4 linked regions of the Cricetulus griseus genome follow. The protein of the gene in region 3 purifies or fractionates together with the protein of the main gene of each other region. This does not show direct contact. Links are inferred from orthologs where the notes say so. Each region holds a gene or a part of one and is shown on either strand. Other genes may lie near its edges.

What was found.
Region 1: the proteins of Dcaf7 (region 3) and Diaph1 purify together in Homo sapiens (affinity purification with mass spectrometry; 5 studies listed by BioGRID and IntAct, counting the BioPlex papers as one, with this or other methods). This does not show direct contact. The link is inferred for Cricetulus griseus from reciprocal best matches to the Homo sapiens genes DCAF7 and DIAPH1.
Region 2: the proteins of Dcaf7 (region 3) and Tcp1 purify together in Homo sapiens (affinity purification with mass spectrometry; 3 studies listed by BioGRID and IntAct, counting the BioPlex papers as one, with this or other methods). This does not show direct contact. The link is inferred for Cricetulus griseus from reciprocal best matches to the Homo sapiens genes DCAF7 and TCP1.
Region 4: the proteins of Dcaf7 (region 3) and Znf703 purify together in Homo sapiens (co-immunoprecipitation; 5 studies listed by BioGRID and IntAct, counting the BioPlex papers as one, with this or other methods). This does not show direct contact. The link is inferred for Cricetulus griseus from reciprocal best matches to the Homo sapiens genes DCAF7 and ZNF703.

What each region holds. Positions count from the first base shown.
Region 1 is NC_048595.1:199,706,026-199,711,886, forward strand, and holds the start of Diaph1 (protein diaphanous homolog 1), read left to right. Parts: upstream 1-2,297; coding exon 2,298-2,414; intron 2,415-5,861. UniProt on the Homo sapiens protein: Actin nucleation and elongation factor required for the assembly of F-actin structures, such as actin cables and stress fibers. Binds to the barbed end of the actin filament and slows down actin polymerization and depolymerization.
Region 2 is NC_048595.1:288,143,141-288,149,025, reverse strand, and holds the start of Tcp1 (T-complex protein 1 subunit alpha), read left to right. Parts: upstream 1-2,321; 5' UTR 2,322-2,409; coding exon 2,410-2,473; intron 2,474-3,773; coding exon 3,774-3,859; intron 3,860-3,941; coding exon 3,942-4,070; intron 4,071-4,774; coding exon 4,775-4,872; intron 4,873-5,012; exon of another isoform or gene 5,013-5,150; intron 5,151-5,241; coding exon 5,242-5,352; intron 5,353-5,711; coding exon 5,712-5,885. Other genes in the region: Mrpl18 (39S ribosomal protein L18, mitochondrial), read right to left, coding at 1,073-1,259, 1,534-1,585. UniProt on the Homo sapiens protein: Component of the chaperonin-containing T-complex (TRiC), a molecular chaperone complex that assists the folding of actin, tubulin and other proteins upon ATP hydrolysis.
Region 3 is NC_048600.1:118,982,003-118,987,388, forward strand, and holds part of Dcaf7 (DDB1- and CUL4-associated factor 7), read left to right. Parts: intron 1-241; coding exon 242-360; intron 361-4,407; coding exon 4,408-4,617; intron 4,618-5,386. UniProt on the Homo sapiens protein: Involved in craniofacial development. Acts upstream of the EDN1 pathway and is required for formation of the upper jaw equivalent, the palatoquadrate. The activity required for EDN1 pathway function differs between the first and second arches.
Region 4 is NW_023276807.1:56,854,671-56,860,666, reverse strand, and holds the start of Znf703 (zinc finger protein 703), read left to right. Parts: upstream 1-2,432; 5' UTR 2,433-2,561; coding exon 2,562-2,813; coding exon of another isoform or gene 2,814-2,817; intron 2,818-3,464; coding exon of another isoform or gene 3,465-3,586; exon of another isoform or gene 3,587-3,742; intron 3,743-3,755; coding exon 3,756-5,282; 3' UTR 5,283-5,996. UniProt on the Homo sapiens protein: Transcriptional corepressor which does not bind directly to DNA and may regulate transcription through recruitment of histone deacetylases to gene promoters. Regulates cell adhesion, migration and proliferation.

The DNA of each region.
Region 1 (5,861 bases), on a different chromosome or scaffold from region 3:
AGACTTTTAGGGATGAGATTTTTGACAGTACTAGAGTCACCTCTGATTTCTTCCTGGGTTCTTCTACTGCAGTTCTTGCTTCTATGGCAGGTGAACAGTGAAGGGGAGGAAGGAGGGCCTGGCTCTCTGAAACCTTCACTGAAGATGAAGTAGGGGGAGGATGTGAAGATGTCCTGCTCTAACTGGCGTTATGTCCATTTGACCACTGTTTTTAATCTAATAAACCAATTGGTATTTTTTTGTACCTTTCTTGGAATTTTAATTTTTGTTAGCTCCCTGTGTATGATGGGGAAGGAAATAGAGATTTGATGATGTGCATAATAAAGTTGTTAATGTTCGTTCAGTACTTTATGTTAGGCCCTGTGTGTGCATTCTCCATGGATGCTTTTATTCAAATGGGGAATTAATAGAACATTTCTGCTGAAGAGTTAGATTAACCTAGGCAGATTACTGGCCTGAGAAGGTATAAAAGATGGCTTTAGGTATGTGAGCATGGTGTTTGAGATGAGGACGTTAGGTGGCAAAGATATCCTGACAGAAGCACACTGAGTGCTCAGCTGTGCTGGATCCTGTATGCACTACAAACACAGACCCTTTTCTGGAAGACTTTACAATCAGGGGCATGGTGAATGTAGGTGTTGACAGTGGTGCAAGATGGGCCCCTCATGCTATCTTTTTCACTTTAGTTTAGGAGTAAGTAGCATTGAAATTCTTCTGGACAGCCTGCAGGAGAGCTGGACACCTCTGTGCAACTTCTAATCCAGCATGGGAAGGTTGGAAACATAGAGGAGGTGAAGGCTGTATTTAGGAGACAGCAAAGTTAGTAGAGACCCTGGTATTACATCTAAGATCTGGAGATTTCAAAAAGTTACTGAACCTGTCGTTAGGTGTGGCTCCTGCACCACCAGCAAGTCAAATTATCAGCCAAAAGCCTGGAGATTTAAATGAAAGACAAGATGTCTAGTCGTTTGTGCTAAGAGAATGTGTGTGTGTGTCTCTTTATTACAGGGAGGGAACAGCCTTATATACAGATGTACAGCACAGTGGAAGAACCCAAGGTGTAAGAGCTCATGTTTTCCCAGGTGTGGTTGATGCCAGTAGGGCAAGGCCAGGACTAGAAAACAGGATGTACCTGTGGTTATTGGCTGACAAGCAACTCACAGAGACCCCATGGGGGCTGGGGCCCAACACTCGGGAATATACACTTGAAATCCTTTTCTTTACTCTTAAGGGGTAGTCAGTCCCTCTCTAAAGATGCCATGTCAGGTAGATATAGCCAGGAGAATGAGAGAGATCATGTAAAGACCATAACCAGAGAACTCATGCAGGCACGTTTGGTTTATGCCTGTGGGGGAATCTTGGTTAAAAATATGGTGTGGCTGTCAGATTAATCTGTGTGTAAATTTTCTATCAATTATGTTACAAGTCACTTCAATGTCCAGAGTGCAAATTTCTTAAATGGTGATACCAGTAGAGTCTATCATGAAATTGTGAGGAATCAGTGAGGAAAGATGTTATGTTTAACATATAACCTGTCCTATAGTTTGTGCTGGGTATGTAGTAACTATTTAATTGCTGCTTAGGCTATTGGCAATAATTAGTCTGTCTACATAAACAACTAGAAAGCTAATCTAGGATTCAATGCTGAGTATTGTAACTCCATAGCTGGTCTAGATTGGCGCTGGCTTGAACTCAGTTCTTGGCACATAGTTTCTATATCAAGTAACTCATTTTTTACATTATTTTTTAATGCACTTACTGCTTGGTGTCATATACATACAAGTTGCATTATCCCACAAAACTTAGCCTTAAATTTTCAACCAAAATAACAGTGTTCCTACGATAAGAGTCTTGGTTCAGACAATGAAATTCGGCCTGGGGTGTGAGGTGGTCTAGCTCTGCGTGGGAGCCCAAAGGCTTCCTCTGTTCCAACCGCCAGGGGGCAGCACTCCCCGCTGCGGTGTGGAAGAGCAGCACCGCCCACTCTCCGTCCCCCCCTCCACGTGGGTCCGAATGGTTAGGCCCGCCGGGCAGGTAGCGCGCTTCCGCGGCGTCCCTCCACCCCCCTCCCCTGCCCCATTGGTAGGGGCTGCGGGTCCGGGCGGAAGTGGGGCAGGCGGGCGGGAGCGAGGCGTCACCGTTGTATATTCATGAGGCGCGCGCAGCCCAGCATGTTAATGAGGCGGGGCGCGGCGGCCGGCTAAGAAGGCTGCTGGGCGGCGGCGGTGGTTGCTGGCTCGGGCTAGCCGGGCGCGAGTGGCGTAGACCAGGGGTCCCTGGCCGGAGCTAACCAGAACATGGAGCCGTCCGGCGGGGGCCTGGGGCCCGGCCGCGGGACCCGGGACAAGAAGAAGGGTCGGAGCCCGGATGAGCTGCCCGCGACGGGCGGCGACGGCGGCAAACCCAAGAAATTTGTGAGTGTCCCTCCCACCCTGCTCCTCAGCCTGGCGGGGTGGCCGCCCTCTGAACTCGGGCGACCCTCGCTGCCCTCCGGGGGCGTCTGCCTGCCGCTGGGGAGCCGCCCCCGCGCCTCTCTTCCTGGTTTCGCTGAATCCTGGGCTTCGCGGTCCCACATTCTCCTCCTCCCGGACCTCGGGAAGCCCGGGAGTCCCACCTGGCCCTCGCCTCGGCCACCTTGGAGCTTCCCTCGCTCTGGAGTCCGCCGGCTCTGCGCTCCCGCCCCCGTGGCCCGCGGGCTCGCAGCCTCACTTCCTTTCTTCTGCCTCTAGTACCCCCACACATCTTTTTTTTTTTCTCTAAATTTCTTTTCTTTTTTTTTTTTTCTTTTTGATTCCCTGTAAGCTGTTTTGGGTCCATTTTCTCTTCTCACTCACACCCCGTTTGGGTTATTCCCTTTCTTCTAAAAGGTCATTTCCTTCCTTACTAGTGATCCCTTTCACCTGCTAACTTTCCTCCCGCCCTGTCCCCTTCCAGGGCTCTCAGCCCGGTGTCACCTGGTAATGCTTCCCCGCAGGAATGTTACCTGACTTGAGTCCTGTCTTCCCTCCTCCTTTGGACGTTTGTCCTTGTGATTACGGGTTCTGCCCAGGTCCTGTGGTCACTGGGGCATGGCAGTATATGACTTCCCAGTATTTCCCTATCCACAAACCTGTTTCTTACTGCCCTGTTGCTTATCACTTCAGAGGTTTAGAACTTTTTTTCACGATACTATGCCCTTCATGACCCGAGATGATGATTAATCTCCCTCTTGAACGAGTTAGACTTCAAGTCCAATAAGTTTGTGAGTAATTTGCTTTTTATACTTTTAAAAAATAACAACCATCTCCTTAACTCGCCTTTGGCCATCTTCTGTGTCTCTAGGTTCCTGACATCCCCTTTCCTATCTGTAGGAGAGTATGTATCTTTCCTTAGGTGCCGGTTATTGGGACTTTCGAGGTTCATGTAACGCGGTATTTTACTACCTGTTGCCTTTCCTAACTAAATCCTCTTCTGTCTCCAGGGAGCTACTTTGCTTCTTCCTGTAAAAACTTTGAAAGATACTGAGCAGTCAAAAAGGGAGTTTCTGCTCAGTTGTTGCCAGTTAATAACTAGATACTTAGTTTGCTCTTCCAGGTAGCACCAGTAATCTCTGAAGCTAAATGGCTTGAATTCTTCTTAACTCTTGCTTTCTTTCACGCACCCCCACCCCCAGCATTCTGATCCAAGTCCCCGAGTTTGGGAATTAAACTGATGAAGTGATGGAAGTGGGAAGAATATGTTTTGTGACCTGGAGGGTTGAATTAAAAGAGTGACTGACTCATCTCTTCCTATTTCTGGCAAGACCAGGTGCTCCTGTTCTGTCCTTTCTAGTGACATACAGGGTGTCAGTAACTGTTTGATCTGGCAAATACCTTTGTAGAAATAGGATCCTAGGTGACCACAGCAATATATCCTTAGGTTCTTTCTTTAAAGGTAGGAATTGACCCTCCAGTTTGAGAACTTTCCTTCCAAAATGTAAGTTTTAGGGCCTGTATTCTATTTCCGTGTCTTTTTGTTTTGATTTTGTTACCATGGATACTGTTTGACCTTCGTCCATACTGGCTATTTTTGCTGATTTGTAGTGACCTCTTATTACTGTTTCTTTTTAAAGTTTCATGTGTGCTTTTTTATTTTTTCTAATACCGTGTCTCATAAAATTGGTGAAATCTACTGGTGTGTGTGGTTAGGTGAGAAATCCCAGGAACCTCAACTTCTTTCCACCTGTTTTTTTGGCACAGTTTTGTGTTCGCTGAGTGGATTTGGCCCAGAGTTGTTGATAATTTGCTTTATAGAGGGTGGAGCTGAACCTACTTCTCTTTTACTGAGGTTCTGGTTTTAACCCTTACATTACTGAATTTTAAGAACTGGGTATTGCAAGTAGTGAGGATTGGAAGGTTTCCAGGGAAGCAGGCTTCTTCACATCCTAATTGCTAAATATAATCTACCTTAAGGCATCAGGATATTCTTACTGCTTTTTATGAGAACTATGAAAATGAGAGACAAGGAGCATTGCAATCCACTTCTCTTTGTCTCTGTATATATAAGTGTGTGTGAGTGGGTGGAGTGGGTGAGATTGCTGGGGTGCTTTTGTCACCCAGGGCTCAGTTTTCTTGAACTACTGGCTAAGACCAATCTCAAAACTATTTCGCCTACTCCACCTTTTCTTAAGTGTGGTATCCGCCAGAACTCCCATTCTGAATGTACTGTACAAATGTGGCCTGGACTAAGTGTGCTTGAAGGTTTGCATTTGAGTGTTTGTAGTCCTTAGGCTGCTGTTACACCTTTCTGAGCAGGTTGTTTGCATTTGAAGGACTGCAGTTCGTACCTTTCTGGCTTATACAGATTCTAAGTACAAATAGACTGAAAATAGAAAGCAGAGCTCATAAATTGCCTGAGACCTTCTTCACCCACTGAGTCTTGCTGTGTGTGGAGAGCAGCTGATATAAAAAGTAGATAGGCCACATCTTTTAAAGGCTTGGCTGCTGCAAGTGTTGATGTGAATGACTGAAGGCAGGCTGCCTAGTTTTACCTGTCTTCTGGGCCATGAGCATTTCCCTTCTACAGTGTTATTCCAGTTCCTTTCCAAATCCTTTCAAAGGAAGGAAAATAAAAATTCCAAGTGAACAGAGTGTTTCTGACTTTGCAGCAGGGACGAATGTGCATGTCAGATATACTCATTTCTGAAATATATGTAAGGAGAGTCAGTACAACCAGGGTGTTAGGAGGCTGTAGAGTATCCCTGCATTTAGTAGATTACATGTCTGCTCACATAGTTGAGAAATTAAGACATTCTAAGAACAGTGATTCCTGATGCAGTGAGGAACATAATATGTTCAAAAAGCAAGGCGAGTTGGTAAATGTTTCAGTACTTAAAACAAAAACAACTGAAAATAAATTTTATTTTATTTTTATTATTTTTTTGAGACAGGGTTTCTCTGTAGCTTTGGAGCCTGTCCTGGAACTTGCTCTGTAGATCAGGCTGGTGTCGAACTCACAGAGATCTGCCTGCCTCTGCCTCCCAAGTTTTGCGATTAAACTCATGTACCACCACCACCTGGCTGGAAATAATTTGTTAAAAGATGTTTTTATTTTATGTATAGGAGTGTTTTGCCTGCATGTGTGTGTGAGCACCATGTATGCTTGGTGCTTAAGGAGGTCTGAGGATGGCATTGGATCCCTGGAACTAGAGTTAGAGATGGTTGTGAACTACCATATAGGTACTAGAAACAAGTGCTCTTAACTACAGAGCCATCTCTCTAACCATAAAGAGCTGAAAATTTTATGGACTGTAAATTGTTTATTATAAAACCTAAGGAAGTAGTAGTATTTGTGATGAGAACAATATAACTCTGATAAGCACGTGAACCAAAACAGACCTATTG
Region 2 (5,885 bases), on a different chromosome or scaffold from region 3:
AAGGTACTTCCACAGGACTTCACAATGGAACTTGATGTGTCTGAATCCTAGCCCCAGCATGTATTCCCACATCATCTCTCCTTCCTTTAGAGAAAGTGGCAAAAAAAAAAAAACCTGCTACACCTGCTTTGCAATGTAGTTTACATAATTAAAGAAAATAAACAAATACAAAATAACTAGCATAGCTCCTGGTAAATACAAAGTTTTCAGTAAATAGTCATCTTAGGGCTGGGGAGTATAGTCCAGAGGCAGAACACTTACTTTGTGTGGATGAAGGCCCTGGTCTAACCCTCATAGTTCTCCCAAAATAAAATTTAACATTTATTTTTATGTGTGTGTCTGTGGTTACAGACTGGAGTTACAGCCAGTTGTGGGTGCTGGGAACCGAACCTGGGTCCTGTGCAAACTCAGTAAGTGCTTTTAACTAATGAACTACTGCTCCAGCCTCCACAAATAAATAAATAATAAATAAATAAATAATCTCATTTTTCTTAAAAGACTTTTAATTGGCCTTCCTTTTATTCCCCGCCTTAAAAATTAAGGCCCAAACTTTACTCTCCATTATTTATCTTAATCTGCAAGGTAATAACCTAATTGTACTTACTACTCTATTTCCACCAAACGTCACTCAGCCCTTTACTTACTGAACTCCAGGTACGCAGGCCTGTGGGCTTCTCAGAGGAGCTAATCAACCCCAGCCTAGCAGCCTCCTCTACTAGAATGTCCTTCATGTCAGATGGTGGTCTTCTTATCCTTTAGGGCTCAGCTTTGTTGTTTTAAGACAGGGATTTTGTTTTGGAGACAGGATTTCTCTGTGTAGTTTTGGAGCCTGTCCTGGAACTAGCGCTTGTAACCAGGCTGGTCTTGAACTCACAGAAATCCGCCTGACTGTCTCGGGAGTGCTGGGATTAAAGGTGTAAACCACCACCACCGGTTTAGATGTCGGCTTTTTGACATGTCACCTCTTCAGAGAGGGAACAATACATAATCTCTTATTCTCAAATTAACTTTAAAGTTTTCTTCCCAATTTAACCTTGGGCTTATCTGGCAGGGTCAGTCACAAATTAATTACCTGTGCCAGAACTCACGGTTGGGCCACACTGTAGCCCAGCCCCGTTCTTTCCTGGCTACCCCTAAGAGCTCCAGATTCCGAGGGTTCCGGTTGGTGAACACTGGGGCCACAGCTTCGTTTTCCTTAGTCTCCACTTCGGGCTGAATCGCTGGCGAGGAACTGGTCGAGCGGGCTGCGAACCCACACTCTAGGAAATGAAAACGACCACGTGGATGTTTAAAACGACTAATACGGGCGCCAGAGGGGCGTGCTCTAACCATTCCCATCACAAGGCCCAGAAGCGGGTAGAAATGGCCGTCTGACCAAGGTTATCACCACCGACCCATAACGTCCCACGGTCACCCCGGGAGCGGCTAGTGCGTTCGCTTCCGCAAGCGGAACCTCGGGTGCAAAATTGGATTTGCAAATTCCCATATACTGTGCACAGCGAGCAGGCAACGACGCGGGGCGAGATTAATTACCCAGCTTCCCGCAAACTGACAGCCATTTCCAGACCCGCGGCTGAAGCGCCATCGCCGATGGGACGTAGGCAAAGCCTCCCAGTACCCGGCCTTGCTTTGCTCACGGTCGTCAGGGAGAACGACTAGCGGCAGCCATGTTAACTGGGGGAAAAGCTACAGATGCCAGCAGGTCGTCGGTCACTCCGGGACCCGGAACAACAAGCTCCCTTGTACTGAGTGGCCGAATAAGCGATCGGTATCTCCGCTTCGCCAACCACCGCTGACGTCGAGGCGGGGGGCGGGGCACGCTCGCGTAGCTCTTTTCTCGGAAGTCCGTCCCTGCGGCATGCGTGACCCCAGGCAGTGGTCGCCCAGCTGCAGACCCCAAACCTCGCTGAGCCTGGACGGAGTCTCAGCTGACTCTCCGAATGCTCCCTGACTCCTAACTATGACCGGAGCTCAGAGATGAAAGGCGCGCGAGCTCCCAGCCGTACCTGGGAGCTAGGGTCCGTAGCCCGCCTCCCACCACAACCCTATCAGCTTCTCTAGAAGGCGCGAGAACGCACGAGCGCCGCCCCACTCCTCCCGCGGCCCAACTTCGGTTCCTCACTTCCGCGCCTTTCTCGTCCAGCCTCTAATTGGATAAATAAATTGTAGACCCACCCCCCCTCCAGTTCCGGCGTCTTCAGTCTCGCCCATCCTCTTTTTCCCAGCGGGCCTAGCGGTTAGCGGAGCTTGGAAAGCGGGCGGGGCTTGGTACCCAGCATCCCGTGCGGCGTCGCTCGGGCCTCTCTCTCCACGCCGTCCGCGTTCCCCGCTGTGGTGGCCGCAGTCCGGCCTCTGAGCGGATATCCCGGCCGTCCGCGGTGTTAGCGAGGCCAGCCAGGTTCCCTAACGATGGAGGGCCCTTTGTCCGTGTTCGGGGACCGCAGCACTGGAGAGGCGATCCGCTCCCAGAATGGTAAGGGCGCGAGAATCCTGCGCCAGGCCCGCGGCCCAGGCCGAGGCCCGACTGCGGTCGCTAGGCCGGGGCTTCCCCCTCGGCACAGCGAAGTCCCCGTGGAGGCCCGGGCCCAGTGCGGACCTCACCCGCGGGCCCAGCCGGCGCCATGGCGCCCTTCGGCCCTGGGAAGAACGTTGGAGCACGGCACGCGAAAGCCCGTTTTGGGAGGTGCCCAGGGTGGGTGTGGGCGTCCACGCCCCGAGTGGGGACTGCGCTACCCCGGAAGGCTAGCTCCAGACCTGATCGCCCGCCACGCCTCAACGGTCCCTTTGTCCTGGTTCTAACCGGGTTGGAACATCCCGGACACGACCAGAGAGGAGTAGTTTCCACCCGTTCCATTTGCCCAGGAGAACATGCCCACAGAATGTAGGTGGTCGTCTTTGCGTGGCTTCCCTCCGGCCGGTTGTCTTTCAGTTGATAGCTGCTCCCAGGAATACTTAACGGTTTGCAAATTGAACGATAGGCGAAATAACACGTGTTTGCTGGTAGTTGAACCTGTTTTTTTTTTTTTAAAGCACTTAACGTTTTCCGATCGTGATTGTGCTTTTTTGTTGTTGTTAAGGTGCCCCCTCCCCCCGAAATACAGTTACTACCGAGATGGACTACTATTCTTATTAAAACATGCTAGAGTCTGAAGAAAAGGCTGAGATGTTAACCCTGAAATTTTTCTTGCTGGCTGGAGAGATAGCTCACCAGTAAAAACACTGGCTGCTCTTCCAGAAGACCCGAGTTCAATTCCCAGCACCCACAGAGCCCCTCACAACTGTCTGTTAACTGTATTTCCAGGAGATCTGACACCTTTACACCAATGCACATAAGGGATTACTTATTTTTTGAGGCATTGACCTCTTTGTGACATTCCAGTACTCAAAAAAGTTAACCTAGCCCGGCCATGGTGGCACACACCTTTAATCCCAGCACTCACTTGGGAGGCAGAGGCAGGTGGGTCTCTGAGTTCGAGGCCAACCTGGGCTACAGACCTAGTTCCAGGATAGTCATGGCTGTTAAACAGAGAAACCCTGTTCTGAAAAGAAAAAAAAAATAGTTAACCTTCACTAGTCCTTTTTTTGGTTTTTCAAGACAGGGTTTCTCGGTATTGCTTTGGAGTCACTAGTCCTTAAATAGGTGTGTTTTTATTTTTTTAATTCCCCAAAAATCGTAATTATTGCAGATTGGTAGGTTTAAGAAAATCATAGTTGGCTTGGTGTCTCTTAGCTTGTGAATTGTTCTAATTTTTCGCCCATTGTTCTATCTTCAGTTATGGCTGCAGCTTCCATTGCCAACATTGTGAAAAGTTCTCTGGGGCCAGTTGGCTTGGATAAAATGTTGGTGGATGACATTGGTGTAAGTATATCTCACTGTTCTTGGTGGCCTTGCCTCGTGGAGCTTGGTTTCTGTGTTGACCCACTTCCTTCATATTTCTCAGGATGTAACCATTACCAACGATGGGGCCACCATCCTGAAGTTACTGGAGGTAGAACACCCTGCAGCTAAAGTTCTTTGTGAGCTGGCTGACTTGCAAGACAAAGAAGTGGGAGATGGAACTACCTCTGTGGTGAGGCACTACCTGGGAGTGGCTAGAGAATAAGCCCGTTTATTAGAGTTGAACCCATGAAAGAATCCTTTACTCTAGATATGTCAGGTGTTTATGGTCTCATAAACATTTGAAAACTAATCATTGCACCTACTTTGTGCAGTTTGAGTAGGAGAAAAATCATATAAGGTAGTTGAATATAAGCTTATTTTAAATACTGGGAATTTGGATGCTTATTTTCAACCCCCTTGCCATGATAATGTTTACATGTAGAAAAGAGTTTCTCATTTAAAGAAAATGTTACCAGGTTTCGGCTTCTTTGTTGTTCAAAACTAATGGATAGTTTTGGATTTTAACCATAGACAGGAAATTTGGGAATTCAGAGTAGAAATTTCTGGTGTTTGTAGCTTGGACCATTTGCACAGACTACTTTGTGGTGTTCTCCATTTTATGTTTTCAGCAAGCTGCTACTTGTCTGCTGTGGCTGGTTAGTAATGCTAGGTCATAGCTGGACATTGTGGTGCATGCCTTTAATTCCAGCAGTTGGGAGACAGTGGAAGGTGGATCTCTGAGTTTCAGGATAGCCAGGGCTACACAAGGAAACCCTGTCTTGAACAAATAAGTAAATAAGATAAAAATAACAATATTAGATAATTTTGATGTTTTCCTGTATGCATTGTGCATATTGAATGACATGAAAACTTAAAGCAGTGTTTAATCAACAGGTAATTATTGCAGCGGAGCTTCTGAAAAATGCAGATGAACTAGTCAAACAGAAAATTCATCCAACATCAGTTATTAGTGGCTATCGGCTTGCCTGCAAGTAAGATTATATTGAAAGAAAATGTTATTTCCTGTAATGGTTGTAGTCTGTCTTAATGTTGTGATTAATCATTAGTTGGCAATGTTCTGTCTTAGCATTTGGGTGGTAGTATTGAAATATTCAGCCCAGTGTACCTCTGTTTTCCCAGTTGACTACCACGTTTTCTCCCAGTAGATTATAGTGGCTATGCTTATGGGATAGATGAAAGGTGCCATGATCTGAAGGGGGAGGGCTTTTCAGTGTCTTCCCCCCTATATGAAATGGCTGAACATAAAACCATCGCCCGATATTTCACAGCGTGTTGGATGTGGTGAAACGCAAAACCTCTGAGTGATGTTTTTATATTTTTCTTTGCCGTTCCTTTCCCAGGGAAGCAGTGCGCTATATCAGTGAGAACCTAATTATTAACACAGACGAACTTGGAAGAGACTGTCTGATTAATGCCGCTAAGACATCCATGTCTTCCAAAATTATTGGAATGTATCCTTAAATGTTCAGTGAAATTTGACCCTAACCCCCTTTCACTCTTAAAAATTAGACTAGGCTTTTATAGAATGTCAATTTTATGCAATAAAATTTATAATTCTTATCTAATGCAACTTGATCTTGTTAGAGAAAAGTGACTGAAACTGCTGCTGCCACCCCAGCCTTGCTGTGGTGAGAGGGTGGTTTGGAGTGCAGATGGTGCTGCATAGAGGGAAGTCACCCTGACTATAGTAGTACTACTTACTGTCTTCCATTGGTGAATTGTCTTGCTAAAAGAAAGTCTAGTTGAATTGCTTTTTGTGTCTTTGGGTCTTTTATTCCAAGACTATTGCTGTCCTTAACTGTTGTCTCAGAAATGGTGATTTCTTTGCTAATATGGTGGTAGATGCTGTACTTGCTGTCAAATACACAGATCTGAGAGGCCAGCCTCGATATCCAGTCAATTCTGTTAATATTCTGAAAGCCCATGGAAGAAGTCAGGTAGAAAGCATGCTGATCAATGGCTATGCACTGAACTGTGTGGTGGG
Region 3 (5,386 bases):
CACACCTATGATACCAGCACTTGGGAGGTGCAGGCTGGAGGATCTTGAGTTCAAGGTCGGCTTGAACTATATCAGAGTATTCTGTTTCAAGAAATTCTTCTCCCCACCCCACAAAAAACAAGTCAGTTCTCAGGAAGTGCTGTGGCCTGTTGTCCCCTGGGCCAAGCATAGGGATCAGAGTGAGAGGGGAGTCTTCATGGAACCTCACCTCATCAGCTCTGACTTGCTCCGGTGTCTGCAGGTACCTCAAGCATTGACACAACCTGCACCATCTGGGGACTAGAGACCGGGCAGGTGCTGGGACGAGTGAATCTCGTGTCTGGCCATGTGAAGACCCAGCTAATTGCCCATGACAAAGAGGTAATGATGCTTTCCCTTGCCTCCTTTTTTTGCAGGTGCTTTCTGTACCTGCAGGTGAGAGGCTGTCCTGTTCTCTCACTGTTCTGCAGGTTACGTAGTTCACAGTGTTGGCATGTGCCTTGACTAAGTTGAAAGCTAATGTGTTAAAACAGAAAACAACACTTATAAATGAATGTACCTTTTATTTTTATTTTTTTGTTTGTTATGTTTTTATTTTATTTTACTTTGGTTTTTCAAGACAGGGTTTCTCCATGGCTTTGGAGGCTGTCCTGGAACTAGCTCTTGTAGACCAGGCTGGTCTCAAACTCACAGAGATCTGCCTGCCTCTGCCTCCCGAGTGCTGGGATTAAAGGCGTGTGCCACCAACACCCAGCTGAATGCACCTTTTAAAATGTTTTATTTATGACAATTATTCTGAGAGAGAGAAAGTGTGTATGCATGTGCAGGCATATGTGTACCGCGGTGCGTGTGTGGAGAACAGAGAACAACTTTTGGAGTCAGCTGCCCCCTTCTGCTGTGAGTTCCCAGGACTGAGCTCAGTTGGAGTCAGCTGCCCTCTTCTGCTGTGGGTTTCCAGGACTGAGCTCAGGTTGTCAAGTTTGCAGAGCAAGTGCTTTTAACCTGTGGCTGACCTACCTCACCGGTCCAAATGCATCGTTAAACAAAACTAACCTACAATCTTCATTTTCCTTTCATACTAGAGGTTGCTGGGGGTACTTTTTTTAATTGATTATTTCAGAATCTCACATCATGCGCCTTGATTGAACTCACTTCCTAGTCTTCCCATGTCCATCCCCTTCTACTGACCCCACCCCCCAAACAATTAAAAGAACAAGTCTATTTTGTGTTGTCCATGTATTCACTGGAATGTGGTTAAATTCCTACCAGCCAGCCCCCCTGCATCCACCGCCAAAAGCCATCATCTGGGGAGAGCCATGTGGTGGCCAGAGCCAGTGAGGCTAGCTCCCCACACACACACACACACACACGCACACACACACCACACACACCACCACCCATGACAGCAGTTCTGGGATTGGTAGGGACGGGGCCAGAGGTTGCTGGTTTTTTTGTTTGTTTGTTTGTTTTTTAATGAAGTCTCTTATATACATCCTAGAAACTGATATGGTTAAAGAATAATTTTAGAGTAACACTTCTCAGCCGGGCGTTGGTGGCCACAAGCCTTTAATCCCAGCACTCGGGAGGCAGAGGCAGGCGGATCTCTGTGAGTTTGAGGCCAGCCTGGTCTCCAGAGTGAGTGCCAGGATAGGCTCCAAAGCTACACAGAGAAACCCTGTCTCGAAAAACCAAAAAAAAAAAAAAAAAAAAGAAAGAAAGAGTAACACTTCTCTCTAAACATGATAGCTTCTTAGAGATAGTGGGAAACGGAAGGGGGAATTTCATGACAGACAATCCTAATTAACTGTTTTTCTCTAAAACCGTTCTGTGAACTCTGGTATGTTTACTTGATCTTTTTACTTTCAGTCCTATTTGGAGGCAAATGTACCTTGTTGATGTTGTTTCTTCTGATGGGGTACCCTCTGGTGGTTTGGGGAAATAGGCAAAACTCTGCTCCCACAGAACCTCTGACCTTCTCTTGTTTCATTTTATGCCCCTTTACCTGCACAGCAAGTGGTATCAGGATTTGTATAAGAAAAAAGATGCTTTAAGGTCATCAACAGAGTGGTGCCAGGTTACCATTCTAAGTAGTTAATCTTTGGTGTTGCACTCCAAGAGTAGGATCTGTAGATAAAGGAATTTGGCTCTGCTAGAGCCAACCCAAAAGTGTGAACTACTCCAAGTGTCTGAGAATATAGCTTGGTGATTGAGTGCTTGCCTACCATCCATGAGGCCCTGGTTTCAACCCCCGTTCTGAGAACAGGGGTCTTGCAAGAATAAACCTAAGTGGTTTAAACCAAGAGAATGCTTATACGTGAAGGAATTGAGAAGGTAGTAGCAGGGGATGCCCACTACCTATAGGCTGAAGGCTATGACTCCCAGAGTCTGGGTTTACCTGGCAGAGATGCTTCTGAACAGAGAGAGGAAGGGTAAGTACTCAGCTGCTGCTTGTGACACAGTTTCCCACTTTGGATTCCTTTGGCTGAACTATCCAGAAACAGCCAGCAAACCTGGGACTCAGCCAAACCTGGCCTATAGGAAACAGGTCTCATTCAATACAGAGAAGAACAGGAGGGCCTGGAATGAATCAGAGCAAGTGACAAACTAGAAAGAAGGAGCCTGCAGCCTGCAGTGGCAGCTCTGCCTTAGGGAAAGCCGGGCGGGGGGGGGGGGTGTAAATGGATGCCTGGCAGATGTAGCCAGAGGAGGGTTTAATACATTGGGAGTGGCCACTTCTCTCTTTCCGGATGAGCTGAACAGGTGGGGCACGGACAAAGGAGCAGATACTTAAGCTGAGAGAGCTTTGTGCTCTGAGCCACACTGGTGGGGGAATTACCCAGAACCAACAGGAAAACAGATGTCAAACACAAAGCACACTCTTAATAGGATCTTGGCTAGTAATGACAGCTGACATCGAGGTGGAGGAATAAAAAGAATTTCTTACAAAAAAATATTGGGTCTGGAGCTGGAAAGATGGCTCAGTGGTTAAGAGCACCCACTGCTCTTTTGGAGAACCCAGATTCAATTCCAGCACCCACATGCAGTCCATAACCATCTGTATCTCTAGTTTCAGGGTGTCTGTCTGGCATCCACAGGTACTGGCTACTCATGTAGGGTACATACGTACAAACAGTCAAAACACTCATACAGATAAAATAAAAATCTTTAAAAACAAAAAAAAAGTAGGTCCTCTAGACACTCTGGATACTGAGGAGCAAACACTGCTAATAGATGCCTATCTATTTCTAAACCCCCTTTTCTCTAACTATGAAGAAATACTTCTCTATGGTTCATAAGGACCCATGTCTGCACTCCTATCACTTGAGTGGTAGATGCAGGAAGATCAAGAGTCCTGGGTCATCTTCTGCTACATAGCAAGTTTAGTGCTAACCTGGGCTACATGAGACCCTGTCTTAAAACAACAGGAAAGAAAAGAGTGATTAAAAGGGGACCCTGGGTGCCTATAACTCTAGCCTTTAGGAGGTAAAGATGGAGCAGTACTTTCACTTCCCAGGTACGAACTGTTCATCACCACTAGACTCGTAAGGCACTCATCCAAAAGGTGAACAGAGGTGTCTGCAAGTCTTTTCAAGATTTAATGTATATGGGTGTTTTGCCTACATGTATGTCCTTGCACCACATGTGTGCACAGTACGAAGGCCAGAAGGGAGTGTCAGATCCTCCGGAAAACTAGGGTTACAGATTACTCTTAGCTGAACCTGGATCTTCTGCAAGAGCAACAAGTACTCTTAACTACCAAGCCGTCTCTCCAGCTCTCAGATGCCCTTTTAAAAAACACAGAAACAGAAGTCGTGATTACCTTTTTCTTACAAAAGGATCTCAGGTCTCAGGCTTATAGCGGACCCAGCTCGGCAGAGAATCATGATGTGGTTTGTCATGAACCTGCATCTGATTGCATGTAAGTGAAACCACTAAAGCCCAGAAAATAACTGCCTTAGGCTTGGAACACTGGGTCTTTGTTCAGACTAAGGTATTCTCTGCCAGTCAGCTGGGTGGGGAGTTTTTGCTTTATTTATCACCAGGTTTTAAGAGAGAGAGTAGAAGCCAGGCATGGGAAGAAGTCGGCCAGCACCTGTGATAAAGTGATCTTTATTCTCGCCAGGCGGTGGTGGCACACACCTTTAATCCCAGCACTCGGAGGCAGAGGCAGGCGGATCTCTGTGAGTTCAAGACCAGCCTGGTCTACAAGAGCTAGTTCCAAGACAGCCTCCAAAGCCACAGAGAAACCCTGTCTCAAAAAACCAAAAAAAAAAAAAAAAAAAAAATGATCTTGATTCTCTGAGAAGCCACTAACTTTTCCTGCTATTCTGTTCTGTCATGAGTTGGGGTTCATGTGAACTGGAAGTAACAGGTTTCCATCCTGTGGGAAAAGGTGGCTGATGTGAACTGGACATTTCTTACCAATAGGTCTATGATATTGCGTTCAGCCGAGCTGGAGGTGGCAGGGACATGTTCGCCTCTGTGGGTGCGGATGGCTCTGTGAGGATGTTTGACCTCCGTCATCTGGAGCACAGCACCATCATTTACGAAGACCCTCAGCATCACCCACTGCTTCGCCTCTGCTGGAACAAGCAGGACCCTAACTACCTTGCCACGATGGCCATGGATGGAATGGAGGTAAACCCCGTTGTCATGTGAGCTTTCTGCCCTGGCTGGTCCCGTGGCCCTTGAGCCCCAAATGAACACACAAGACTTATATTAATTATGAAACTGTTGGCCGATGACCAGGGCTTCTTTTTTTTTTTTTTTAAGATTTATTTATTTATCATGTATACAGTGCATGCCAGAAGAAGGCACCAGATCTCATAATGGATGGTTGTGAGCCACCATGTGGTTGCTGGGAATTGAACTCTGGACCTCTGGAAGAACAGAGTGCTCTTAACCCCTGAGCCATCTCTCCAGCCCAGACTAGGGCTTCTTATCAGATAGCTCTGTCTTAATTATTAACCCATTTCTATCAATCCGTGTCTTGCCACAAGGCTGTGGCTTACCCAGTAATGACCAGCATGGTGTCACTCCTCTGGCAGCATCTTGACTCTGGCCTCCTACACTTTCCAGAATTTGTCTCCTAGCCCCACCTATTTTCCTGCCTGGCCAATCAATGTTTTATTCATCAACCAATAAGAGAAACATATAAACAATAGCATCTCCTATCACCCCATACGTCTGCCTGTCCCTTGTCCAATCTGCCTTGTGTATTTACAAGAGTAGCTCTCGGATGGTGGCGGTTTTGTGCTCAGTTGATCTTTGGAAATACCTGGAAACATTTTTGGTTGTCAGAAGAGGAAGCAAAGAGTATTTTTGGCATCAAGTGGGCAATGATCAGGGAGGCTGCTAATGACCCTGCAATGCACAGACAGTTCCCAACAGTGTCAGTCTACTAAAA
Region 4 (5,996 bases), on a different chromosome or scaffold from region 3:
TAGGGAATTGAGTGTCTTAAAAGAACAGTGTATCATTTCATAGGGAAATTGCCTGACCCCTTCCAGAGTCCCTACATCCTATTCGTACCCTTTCTCTCCTCCTTTTGTTCATTTGACATCTTTCTATTCTCCAAATAAAGGGTAAATACTCCACTGTCCTTCTGCTGCCTCCTGGCCTCTTTTCCACCCGAATTCCTAAGTGTCTACTCTCTTTCCCTCTAGCTTATTTCCTATTAATCATTTCTAACACACATCTGCTTGGGTCCTAGAAGGATCTCTTGGCTCACTCTTGCAGATGGACTGCTTATGATAATCAAGGAGTTCTTCCTCCAAGGTACCCTTGAAGAATATCCCTTCTACAGTCTGCCTTTCTCCTGCTCTTTTCTCCCAAAGGCCAAAGGACTGAAGTAGCCCTGCAGTGGACTTTGTTTTGAGATAGGGTCTCACTCTGTAGCACAAGCCGGTCTGGAATTCACTAGGTAGGCCAGGGTGGCCTCAAACTCGTGACATGATCCTCCTGCCTAGCTTCCTGAGTGCTGGGTTTGCAAGCATGAGCCACCAGCCCCAGCCTGGAGTAGAATTTTAAAGATAGATAAATGCTGGCAGTGACCATGAGGTCAGAATGCAAAGACTGGTGTGAGCAGAGCTAATGGGGGTGAGAAGGAAACCGTGACACCATAAAATAAATGAGATCGTCCTCCTCCCCTCCATTCCTATGACCCTCTTGCTGCAATAATGAAGATATCATCAGAGTCAGGACAACACAGGCCATTGGTTTTCAACTAATTTTATAAGAATTAAGGATGAGGGAGGGGACAGTTGAGTAATTTCTAAGAAATCTATACACTCTAGTCACCAAACAGTGTGGAGTCAGGGAGTGCTTGAGTTTAGTATATGACTAGTGTGGTCTATTCTCTCCAGAGTATGAAAAGGGTGTGATGGCTCTCTCACTTTGAAGATCCCTTTGAAGTCGCCTGCCCCAGTCTTGGGTTCTCACGTTGTCTTGAGTCATTGGTACCAGAGTCAGAGAAAAGACTGGATCAGCACCACAGAGTTGGAACCAGGTAGTCTTGGGGCTACTACAAAGACAGACAGACCTTGATGATCCGAGGAACAAATCAGGACTGGGAAAGTGGTACTCAAAAGGAATGGTGACACCAGCGCGCCTCTACTGGCCGCCGAGGGCAAGCAGAAGGGGTCACTCCAGAGCTAGGACACAAAGGACCAGTGTCACCTGATTGAGCCCGAGGCTCTCAACTTTAAGGTCAGGTCCGTGACTATGTTAAATCTCTGTGTGAATACATACTTTTTCCGGAAGTCTAGGGCGGGGGAGGGGGGATGAGAGAGGGTACTGTTATTGTTAATAAAAAGGTTTTATTTCGAAATTTCCCTGGGGGAAAACCAGTGAAGCAATCTCTGGAGTTGTGCTGTGCTAAGACACCCTCCGCTAGGACACACGGCTTCTTCAGTGATGCTACCCCTCACCCAAATAACAGCTAGTCACAGCACAGTGAGGAAGCTTTACTGCTTTAAACAGGACAAGAATCCTGAAACACACGTAAACACGATCTATAATTCAGTGTGCCCCCGGGGCGTTCCAGGAGCTTCAAGGCGGCGCTCCGAGGGGGCGCGCCCTATCCCGGGTACTGTGCTTCATCTAGACCATCTCACCAGGAAGGGAGTCCTTCAAACTTGCAGGCTGACTGGACAAGCCCAAAGTAGTTGGAACCGCTCACCCAGCGCCCAGGGAATAGTGGATGCCCCTGAGGCTCCGACGCTTCCAAGTGAACACATCCGGGAGAGGCCAATTAGGGGAAAGAGAACTGGCCGAAGCAGCTTGGAGAAGGGGCCCGGCTCCCTAGGCAATGGCCCGCCCCCAGGCGGCCTCCAGGAGAAGCTTGGATCCTAGGACCAGAGCAGGCTCTGTGAGCTCCCACCGTCGTTCCCACCCTAGACACTGGCGACAGCCCCCGCCAGCACACACACACACACACACACACACACACACACACACACACACACACACACACGCTAGTGGGAAGCAGCGGACATCAGAAGAGCCAGAGCAAGGGAGGGCGCAGAGCCTGCGTCCAGAAGTCCCATCCCTTGTATGACCCGGTGGCGAGGGCAGCCCGGCAGAACCCGGAAAGAGAGAGCAGTCCCAGTGCGCAGCGAAGGCTGGGAGGCGGCAAGGGGGGCGAGGGCCCTTTAAGACTCTCCCCGCCCACCGGCGGCGCCCGCCTCCGCCCGCCGCTCTCCCCGCCCCGGGGTCCGGGAGAGAGCTGCGATTGGGCGGGCGCGGCGATCCCTTTGAAGTGTGGCTGCAGATCGCGGCTATTTGACGTGCAGCTCGCGGAAGGCGAAGGTTTTTGTGTTGCTCGCCTGGGCTAGCGGCGGCGGCGGCGGCGGCAGCGGCGGCGGTGGAGGAGGGGAGGTGGCATCCAGGCGCAGCGACTGCTGCACGGCGTTCGACGCAGCGGAGCGAGCCCACCCGCCCCGGGAGCTCGCCTCCCGGAGCTTCCCCTCCCTCCCCGCCCCCCCAGTGGCGCTGCCTCCTCCAAATGAGCGATTCGCCCGCTGGATCTAACCCAAGGACACCCGAAAGCAGCGGCAGCGGCGGCAGCGGCAGCGGCGGCGGCGGGAAGAGGCCGGCGGTGCCGGCGGTGGTGTCCCTCCTGCCCCCGGCGGACCCCCTGCGCCAGGCGAACCGGCTTCCTATCAGGGTCCTGAAGATGCTGAGCGCTCACACCGGTCACCTCCTGCATCCGGAGTACCTGCAGCCGCTGTCCTCCACTCCCGTCAGCCCCATCGAGGTCAGTCTCCGGGCGCTGCCCACCCAGAACCGAACCCATTCTGCCACCCATGCCGGGCCCATGGCCCTCTGCTCCCTTACCCACTCTCCCCACCCCCGTAGCTCAGTGCGACGCGACTCTCGAGACTGGCCACGCTGGCGGACCTTATGAAGAAGGGCGAAAGGCAGGAATCAGACCCCTCCAGGTTCTCCCTAGACTCCCGGGTGGAAGGGTTTTTCTCACTCGCCCTTCGGAGCTGCGTGTTTTCTGTCGAACTGGATTTACTCCTGTGGTGCCCAGAGTCCTTTACTTTTCCTCTGGCCCCCTGTGTCCTGTCCAGAGATGGCTCCTGGGCCTCTCTCGCCTCCACCCCGACCTGTTCTCTTGGAAGCCGCCCGGGTTCCCCCGCATTTTCCCAGGCCTGTTGGGGCACACTGCAGAAAACCCAAGCACTCGCGACCCCGGGTCTTTCTTCATCCCACTTCTCTTGGTGTTCTCCCCGAGAGGGAGGGAGAGGAAAGAGGGAGGGGCTACTCATAGGGCCAACTGCAGCTCTGCCTTTAGAAGGAGCCTCTCCCTGCTCCTGCCCCGAGCGCCATCATCAGAAACCCGTCCCAAACGAAGTTCTCCCAAACTAAAGGCTTAAGTTTTACCCCGGGCCAAGAAGAGAAGGAGGATTAGATGGAAAGGGGCGAATCACCGCCCCGACTCCAGAGAAGTCACCTTTAACCAGGAGGGCGGGCGTTGAACCGTTTCTCCTGTGCGCCAGCGCCCATGACACAGTCAGGGACTAACGCAAGTGCCATACCGCCCTGCTGCTCCGCCGGAGCCAGGCCTCCTTCTCAGTGACCCTCTTCGCTAGGCCCCCGTCGCGCCGCCAGTGACCTGCTTTGCGTCCCTGCGGGTTTACTGGGTCCCCTAATCTCACCCCTTCTCCCTCCCCTTTGCCACTGTCTCCCGCAGCTGGACGCCAAGAAGAGTCCGTTGGCACTACTAGCCCAGACCTGCTCGCAGATCGGCAAACCTGACCCGCCGCCCTCGTCCAAGCTCAACTCAGTAGCCGCAGCGGCCAACGGGCTGGGATCCGAGAAAGACCCGGGCCGCTCCGCCCCCGGCACCGCCTCCGCGGCCACCGCGCTCAAGCAGCTGGGGGACTCCCCCTCGGAGGACAAGTCCAGCTTCAAGCCCTACTCCAAGGGCTCCAGCGGCGGCGACTCTCGCAAAGACAGCGGCTCCTCGTCAGTGTCCTCCACCTCCTCTTCGTCCTCCTCGTCCCCCGGAGACAAAGCGGGCTTCAGGGTCCCCAGCGCCGCCTGCCCTCCCTTTCCCCCGCATGGAGCGCCTGTCTCCACCTCGTCAAACTCGTCTTCACCGGGAGGCTCCCGAGGAGGTTCCCCGCACCACTCAGACTGCAAGAACAGTGGCGGAGCCGGCGGCGGGGACCTGGACAAGAAAGACCAGGAAGCCAAACCCAGTCCGGAGCCAGCCACTGGGAGCCGAGGCAGCAGTGGGGACTCGGCTCACGGTGGCCCGGAAGCCGCGGCATCAGGGCGCAAGTCGGAGCCGCCCTCTGCTCTGGTGGGGGCCGGCCACGTGGCTCCAGTGTCACCCTACAAACCAGGCCACTCGGTGTTCCCGCTACCGCCCTCCAGCATCGGTTACCACGGCTCCATCGTGGGCGCCTACGCCGGCTACCCGTCTCAGTTCGTGCCTGGCTTGGATCCTAGCAAGTCTGGCTTAGTGGGAGGCCAGCTGTCCGGGGGCCTGGGCCTGCCACCCGGCAAGCCCCCCAGCTCCAGCCCGCTCACGGGGGCCTCCCCGCCCTCCTTCCTGCAGGGATTATGCCGTGACCCCTACTGCCTGGGAGGCTACCACAGCGCCTCGCACCTCGGCGGCTCTAGCTGCTCCACTTGCAGCGCGCACGATCCCACCGGGCCCAGCCTTAAGGCCAGTGGCTACCCGCTGGTGTACCCCGGGCACCCCTTGCAACCCGCTGCGCTCTCCTCCAGCGCTGCCCAGGCCGCCCTTCCGGGCCATCCTCTCTACACCTATGGCTTCATGCTGCAGAACGAACCGCTGCCACACAGCTGCAACTGGGTGGCGGCCAGCGGGCCCTGCGACAAGCGCTTTGCCACTTCCGAGGAGCTTCTCAGCCATCTACGGACTCACACAGCCCTGCCCGGCGCAGAGAAACTTCTGGCCGCCTACCCCGGGGCCTCGAGCTTGGGCAGCGCCGCAGCAGCGGCGGCAGCCGCAGCCTCTTGCCATCTGCATCTCCCCCCGCCCGCCGCCCCAGGCAGCCCTGGATCGCTGTCATTGCGGAGTCCACACACTTTGGGGTTAAGCCGATACCACCCCTATGGCAAGAGCCACTTATCTACAGCTGGGGGGCTGGCAGTGCCATCCCTCCCCACAGCCGGACCCTACTACTCGCCATATGCGCTGTATGGACAGAGACTAGCCTCCGCCTCGGCGCTCGGATACCAGTAACTACAGCTCTGGCCCCTCCCAGCCCTTCCTCACCCACCCCTTCCTCTCATGTCCCACTGCCCTCGACGCTGCAACCTCCACTACTGCTTACCCCTACCAGGATACAGCCCAGCCCCTCCCCATCGGACTGTGTATTTATTTACTATAATGTTAGCTTACAAGCTGGGAATATAAGTGCATTAATGGCCCACATGAGTCAATGGTATGCAAAAAGTCTGTCTCCCCAAATAATAATATTAACCACCCAGATAACGACATGATCCCCTTCCCTCTCCCTTCCTTTTTTATTTTCTTTTTCTTAGGTATATGTTTTAAGGGATTTTTTGGTTTTTTGACTGGTTTGCTTTTAAGGAATGAAGGGAGAGTTGGGGTTCTACACTTTTAGTTTTCCCATTTTGGGCAGTCTCTTGCATGACTCTCAACTGTTAAAACTGCATTTCTTCCCCTTTCCTTCCACCCCTCTTGTTTCTCTCCATGTGAGGTTTTAATTATTTTTTTCCTTTGTACAAAAATATTGTAACAATTTTTGGGGGGTCGAGGGGAACCTTGGTGGCTGGAGGTCTTGAGCTTTGTTGAATCAGAACGCTGCTGTGTGGCCCTCCCCAGCAACCCTCCTTTCCCATGTGAGCACTTGGTTCTAGGCCCTGACCCCTCAAATCAAATCACAGCTTTGATCGTCCAGGGTGCTCAGCTTGAAGAGTCCAGGTGCGACCG